Linked DNA regions of Ovis aries. The protein of the gene in region 1 binds, or shares a complex with, the protein of each later gene. Links are inferred from orthologs where the notes say so. Each region holds a gene or a part of one and is shown in the gene's direction. Other genes may lie near its edges. The genes, in order: EDAR and EDA.

Region 1 (3,234 bases):
TGGCTTTAAAAGGCGAGAAGATCAGTTCCTGCCTGGACATAGACAGACGTGTGGAAGATTCAGCCTGGAGTCTCCCCACCACCACCCCTGGAGCTGTGATGTGGAAATTTGCTCTCCCCAGAGGCCCCACGGGGCACTGCCCAGGTCCAGGTCCCACAAGGCAGGGAGGGCCGGCCTTGGATGTGGGGCTCACTGTCCCCACTCAGGCAAACCTGTGGCACCAATGTCCCCAGACCCAGAGAGAAAAGCAAGACAGGAGGAAACATGAGAACAAGACCTCATGTGCCAGGTTGCTTCGGTCATGCCGGACTCTTCACAACCCCATGGATGGTAAACAAAACGAGATCCTCCCTACTAACCCCAAACCTCAAGTCCTGCCTAAGAAAGGCCCACCATCGGGCAACTTGATAGGACAGCCTGCCTGTGGCTCAGCTGACCACAGAACCAGATTCCGAATCACCCTTGCTGGGAGATGCCTCTTACGTTGGAGCGGAGTTTATGAATCACAGTTAAGGGAAGGTTAAAACCTCATTTCTGTTCTAACACCATTTGGTCACAGCTATTTTGGAAACTTGTCAAAGGAAAATCCTGGAGAAAAATCCATCAAAATGTCAACTCTAGACCTCAAGACTGTGGGTGAACCTTTTGCTTCTCTCATGTTCTGATGTTTTCTCAATGTTTGATCATGTTCAGTTCAGTTCAGTCGCTCAGTCATGAGTGTGTATTAAAAGTATTAACAGTCCATCCCTGTTTAATTAATGGAAGGAACCACTCTGGTGTTCCCCCAAACTCACATGCACACCTGCCCCTCACCTGCTCATGGGGACCAAGTCTGAATCTTGGATGGAGCAGGTGTGACTCCGCGTGTCCAGTGTAAGGAGCAAGGGCCTGGTGAGGTCAGAGGCTCTCGGGGATGAAGGTACCGCCGGCCCAGCCCTTTCCTCATGAGGATCTTCCTCACGAGGACTCTGGACCCCTGGGGCCGGGCTCCCCCTGCAGGCTGTGCTCCATCTCCAAGGCTGGGGCAATGGGGGTCTCTTGAGGGACCCACGATCGGTCACTGCTGTCCCTGCAGGTGTGGGAGCCGCCTCGGGAGTTTCTGCCAACTTCCCCCGCACACCTGGCAGCAGCACCCTGTCCCCACCGCAGCTCGCTCACAAAGGTAAGGGGGGCACAGGTGCCAGCCCCAGCGGGAGATGAGGATAAGGGGAGACAGGCAACTAGCAGGACAGGACCTCCCACCTCCCTCACTTCCCTCACGTGACAACCACACTGGGAGTTAGTGATTTCTCTGTAAGAGGGAACCAGTCCCTCCACGGATGTTGGGGTCATGGGGGGCACATTGGTGATCCGGGCACATGAGGTAGGGGCCGGAGGGAGGTCAGCCCCCTGGGCTTTGGGCCTGACTCAGATGAGCCTTGGTGGCTTTAAGTAAACCTGCTGACCTCACATTTTACTCACCCCTAAGTCCTCAGGGGTGGGGCTGCAGGGCCCTGGCCTCACTTTCTCTTGGAGCAAAACTGGGTGCTGGGCCCTCCCTCACAGTGCTCCCACTCTGCCTGGCTTGAAAGCACCTTCGGGCCGAGATCTCAGGCTCAGGCACCTTCAGAGTCCCAGGGCACAGCCTGCCAGCTGGACCCCTGCCCGCACCCATGGGGAGCATCAGGGCAGGGCCTCCACTGAGGTCCTAGACTCACTTCCTCCAGGACAGAGGTGGCACCCCACAGACGGGCACCAGGCCCACTCAGACCTGCTTCCAGACACACCCCACCTGGGTAGGGGGGATGCGTGCCCACTGCCCACTCGAAGCGGGGAGACTTCCTTGAGGTCCAGACACCTGGACGGGGTCCCTTCCATCCAGGTAGGGGGCTGGATCCTGCTCGGTTCTCTCAGAGAATCAGGACAGGTCTCCCTTCCTGGGGAGATGTGGGCAGGGCGCTGAGCAGGGGAAGCAAGGGGTGGGCCCTGTGCTGCCTCAGCTGGTGGGCCCTGGCCGCACAGAGCCCAAGGCTGCATGAGGTGTTGGGACCAGCCCAAGAGCCTGCCCTTGGAGGCGATGCTTCTACCCAGCCTTTGTGGGGAAAAGTCTTGGGCTAAACTGTCTTCAGGACAGTTTAGCTCATGGGCTCCCTCCCTCCAGTCCACTTGCTGGGTCCCCAAAGAAACAGAACTGATGGCAGACACCCCGGGAGCAACCGCGGGGTCTGCCGCTGCTGACCAGCATGGGGCCGGACTGGTGGTCCCGATGTGATGGCCAGAGCAGGTGTATAGGGCTCAGTGCTCGGGTGAAGCCAGCGTTTGAAATTCCAGTGGTCTGCTGGAGGGCTTGGTGGCAGGGCCGCTGCTCACCGTGCCACAGCCTTGCAGGGCAGGGGCCTGATCCCTGAGTCCTGGCCTTCTCTCCCGACTGCAGCAGAGCTCTCAGGCCAAGGACACCTGGCCACCGCCCTGGTCATTGCCATGTCCACCATCTTCACCTTGGCCGTCGCCATCGTCCTCATCATCATGTTCTACATCCTGAAGGCCAGGCCGTCTGCCCCCGGTACCGCTCCGCCCCCCACACCCCTCACCAGCCCCCTCTCCCTGATGCCGGCTGGCCACTCATGCCCCCTGTCCCCTCAGCCTGCTGCCCCAGCACCCCCGTGAAGAGCCCAGAAGCCCCCGTGAGCGAGGAAGAGGAGAAGAAAGAGGCCCAAGGTAGGCAGCAGCCTCTGAAGCCCACAGTAGGAGGTGGGGGGCTGGAGCACGGCCCCCCCAGCCCCTAAGGAGGCCGGCCCCTGATGCCCCCTCCCACCCCCACCCCCACAGACAACGTGGTGATCTTCTCCGAGAAGGACGAATTCGAGAAGCTGACAGCGGCTCCAGCCAAATCGGCTAAGAGGTGAGTCAGGGAGGCAGCCCGGCTTAACTGGGGGCGGGGGGTCTTTGGGGTGCGAGCAGGAAGAGCAGCTGGGCCTGTGGGGGCCACAGGGTGGGGCGGTGGCCCAGGGTCCTCAGTGCCTGCGCCCCTGCCTGCTCTCCCCTGGGGCCGGGAACCGCTGGCTGTTGGCTCCATGTCTCGATCTCCAGCGGGCACAGGGTGGGGCTTGGTCTCTGTCACCCAGTCACCAGCACATACGGTCCTTTGTTCTTAAATAAGTCTTCAGCCAAACCACAGGATGCAAGCAGAATGCCTATAAGGTTGTTTTCCATCTGTGTGGGATGATTCTGGGGGCATGACTAGGGCCATGGCCC
Region 2 (3,813 bases), on another chromosome or scaffold:
ATGTGGAATAGAAGGCTGAGACTGCTCTGAAAAGAGAGCAAGGAGGAAATGGGGAGGATCTGGTGGCTTGATTAATAAATACATTCAAGAATAGGGCCTCTGAGGAAAGAAGACTCTGGGAAGCTAGATTATTTAGCCTATAAAAATAGAAGTTGATAGGTGACTTAATGTCCTTGAGCACATTAGGGTTATTGTCTGTATGATGGCAACTATTCTTTTCTACCTATACAAACAATAGTATAAGAGCTTAAACTTCCACAGGAGGAATTTCAGTTCAATATACAGAAGAGCTTCCTAACAGTGAGGGGGTGATAAACATTGGAACATGTTACCAAGGGATTCTGCAGAATTTCCTTTCCCAGAGCTCTTTAAAAGTAGAGTTTAGAGAGGTGAGCTGAGAAAGCAAAACCTGCCTGCTGCTTCCTCCACAGCTCAGCTCCCTCTGGTCTCCACTACCCCTTCTTTCCTTATGTTACTTGAGCCTTCTCTCTCGCTCTTTCTCTCCTCCCTCCCCCAACCACCTCTCATCTTCCCAGACTCCTTCCAATTCTACTTTCCAGCCTCATCCTAGCTCAAGTCCCTGTACATCCTGACTCCTAGAGGAAGCCTTCCTGGAGCTGATAGTCATCCTAAGGTCAAGCTGGCCTCCGAGCTTGCTAGCCTCATCCACATCAAGCCCACCAACCTGGATAGTAAACATGAGAGCCACGCTCTGCAACAGTAGCCCAGTTCTCAATTGTAAAAAGTGGCCCACTTTTTAAGGTCTACCCACTTGGTGATTCTGATCCTTTGGACTTGGCCAAACGGTAACCTCCTTTTTTAAGCTTCCTGACCTCTCCAGCATTTTGTCCCTACAATTAATGCAACATTTCTACTGTCCTGTGACTGTGTCTGTTTCCACACAAGACCAAATTCCTTGAGGGTCATTATTTCTTCAAACCCAGCCTGTAAATGCTGATTCATGAAACAAAGTGTGTGTGTGTGATGTGTGATAACAGTATACACCTCTTTAAGAGCAGGAACTCCCGGAGGGCCAACTTTGTGTCATGAGAAAGCTGTGGAACTCCCGACAGTACACTCAGTCAGTAATTATAAATGTGATACCGAATCTCATCTTTCAGGAAAGAAGGCAGGACCTCCTGGACCCAATGGCCCCCCAGGACCTCCAGGACCTCCAGGACCCCAAGGACCCCCAGGGATTCCAGGGATTCCTGGGATTCCAGGAACAACTGTTATGGGACCACCCGGCCCTCCAGGTCCTCCTGGTCCTCAAGGACCCCCTGGCCTCCAAGGACCTTCTGGTGAGTTCCTCCATCTCTCCACCATCCTAGGTTCCTTAAAAGTTCTCTAATAGAACAGGAGCAGGTGATCCCAAGAGCAGTTTAAAATAACAGTATGTGGTCTCCTTGCTCAGTGGAGAGCTAGGAATTGGACAAGCCAGTAGAACCTGCCCTGCTCTAACTTCTTATTTATGGGGCTTCCCAGGAGGTGCTAGTGGTAAAGAATCTGCCTGCCAATGCAGATGTAAGAGACACTGGTTTGATTCCTGGGTCAGGAAGATTCCCTGGAAGAGGGCATGGCAACCCACTCCAGTATTCTTGCCTGGAGAATCCCATGGATAGAGGAGCCTGGTGGGCTACAGTCCTTAGGGTCGCAAAAAGTCAGACACGACTGATGGTGTGTGGTCTCCTAGCTCAGTGGAGAGCTAGGAATTGAACAAGTCAGTAGGGCCTGCCTTGCTCTAACTTCATATTTATACCAACCTGTCAAGGAAGAGATACCTGTTCTTGACCTGTGGATTTTGTCTCCCGATTTCCAGCATCTAGCCTCACATACTGATGTTTGATTAGAAAAAGGCAAAGGGTAGGAATGGGCTTCCCTAGTGGCTCCCAGGTAAAGAACTCATCTGCCAATGCAGGAGATGCAGGTTCGATCTCTGGCCCAGGAAGATCCCCTAGAGATGGAAATGGTAACCCACTCCAGTATTCTTGCCTGGGAAATCCCATGGACAGAGGAGCCCAGTGGGCTACAGTCCATGGGGTCACAAAGAGTCAGACACGACTTAGTGACTAAACAATAACAACAACATGGAGAGGAAAGTTCGGGGCTGGACAGAATGACAAGCCCTAGAGTAGTCTCATCCCCTGAACTCTGAAGTGCCTTTCCCATAGAGCTAGACCAGTAGTCACTGATAATCAAGGAGTTGGAAACTTATGAGTCACTCAGGCTGTGGAAGAAGCAGACACAGGCACCAAGACCAGTCTGTTGAGGAATCAAGTGCTTACTGTGCTACATCCTTCCCCTACCACGTTGCCCATTTGAATAGCATTTAACCTCTTTGCATCTTTCCCCTTGGGCCCAGAAGGCCATCCCAAAGGCACAGATGCAGATCCAAACCTGCCTAGTCAGAGTTGACAGGGGTCAGACTGCCGGGGCTTAGGTCAGCTGCTGTTTCCTTCTCCTGCTCCCCTCATCTTGGGGCTTTTACAGAAATGGACTCTTCACAGCTGATTTCTCTGGGTCCAAGAATACTGCCACAAGACTCATATTCTTTGACTGGTAGTTCAAACAGAGCTAATCAGTGTCATTGTGGCCCCAAGAAATGCAGTTTGGAATTTTTTTTCATCCCATCTTTCTACAAATATTCATTGCATACTTTCTATGTGCAAGAGATATATTGACTGGTGGAATTTATGTCGTACAGGAGAATGACAATTAAAGAAGCAAGATGTGTACAAATGGCAATGCATTCTACAGAGAAAATTAATAGAAAGAGAACAAAAGGCTAAAGAAGCAAGTACCATTGTCTTGGGGTCCCACGGTGGCAGGAATGCACTCTCCTCTGTCACCACGGGTGCTCAGTGGCACTTGCCTTGGGCCATTGTTGACGAGGGGCCAGTTTCCTGCTGGGTGCTGGGCGCATTGAAGATGCAGGTCAGGGACAAGTCAGAGAAGAAAGGGGTGTCATCTCCCACTCCAGAGCCCCGCACCCTGACTCCCTCCAGCTCTGAGTTGTGGAAAATAAGGCTCAGTTGATGCTTGGCAAAAGGCTCAGACTGAGCCTGGCTTGGCTCAGACAGGGAGCAAAAGCTCAGTGCCATTGGCTGCCTAGATGAAGAGAAGCAAGTAGACAGAGCATGCCCTCTGACTGGCCTGTCCTATTTTGCAGGTGCTGCTGATAAAGCTGGAACTCGAGAAAACCAGGTTGGCTGGGAATTGCTGTCTTGCTGGGAAGAAGGGAAGGCCACCCTTGAGTTTGCTCCCTGCTAAGTTTGCTGAGGCTTTCTTTTGTGAGGAGACCCTGGAGGTTCTGGGGGCTTTTCATTCACAGCCCCCTCCCATGAATAGAAAAACTTTGCCCTAGGGCCTGCTTTTAGCAAGAGAACTGAGCTGTGGCTATTTTTCCCCATTCCCTAGGAGACAGAGGGTCACCACAGCCAAGCCCAATAGTCAGCTGACATGAGCTGGCAGTGAGGTCTATTCACCTGGTCCTGGGCCTCCCCAACTACACCAGACACCTTGTCGGCATTCCAACCACCTGATGTCAGCAGCTTAGAAGTTTAAGAATATGTTCTTGAAAATCAGCCAACCAGTTCCAGGTCAAGCCCAGCCTGGCCTTCTGCCTTCACAGCCTGAAGGGCTCCTCCCTAGTCTCTGAGCTTCCTGATCCATCTCTACTGGCAGTTTCCACTGCCTCGCCTTGTCTCATCACGGCTTCTCTCACTACAGCTGTTTGGCCACAGCAATCAATCTACACAGCTGCACGGTGCTGGATGGCTTGCAGGGTATTTTATATTCGTCACCTCAGTTGAT

What was found.
Region 2: the proteins of EDAR (region 1) and EDA are in contact, whole or in part, in a crystal structure (PDB 7X9G), measured with the Homo sapiens proteins. The link is inferred for Ovis aries from reciprocal best matches to the Homo sapiens genes EDAR and EDA. Residues at the interface, in NP_071731.1 of Homo sapiens: Glu55, Pro56, Tyr57, Leu58, Lys78, Ile86, Arg88, Arg89, His90, Asp92, Glu94, Gly95, Phe97, Val134; in NP_001390.1 of Homo sapiens: Gln256, Ser258, Ala259, Gln261, Asp265, Asp273, Arg289, Tyr310, Tyr311, Lys340, Thr341, Tyr343, Ser370.

The regions. Positions count from the first base shown.
Region 1 is NC_056056.1:62,139,161-62,142,394, reverse strand, and holds part of EDAR (tumor necrosis factor receptor superfamily member EDAR), read left to right. Parts: intron 1-1,075; coding exon 1,076-1,162; intron 1,163-2,413; coding exon 2,414-2,542; intron 2,543-2,622; coding exon 2,623-2,697; intron 2,698-2,808; coding exon 2,809-2,881; intron 2,882-3,234. UniProt on the Homo sapiens protein: Receptor for EDA isoform A1, but not for EDA isoform A2. Mediates the activation of NF-kappa-B and JNK. May promote caspase-independent cell death.
Region 2 is NC_056080.1:62,926,967-62,930,779, forward strand, and holds part of EDA (ectodysplasin-A), read left to right. Parts: intron 1-1,121; coding exon 1,122-1,301; intron 1,302-3,169; coding exon 3,170-3,204; intron 3,205-3,813. UniProt on the Homo sapiens protein: Cytokine which is involved in epithelial-mesenchymal signaling during morphogenesis of ectodermal organs. Functions as a ligand activating the DEATH-domain containing receptors EDAR and EDA2R. May also play a role in cell adhesion.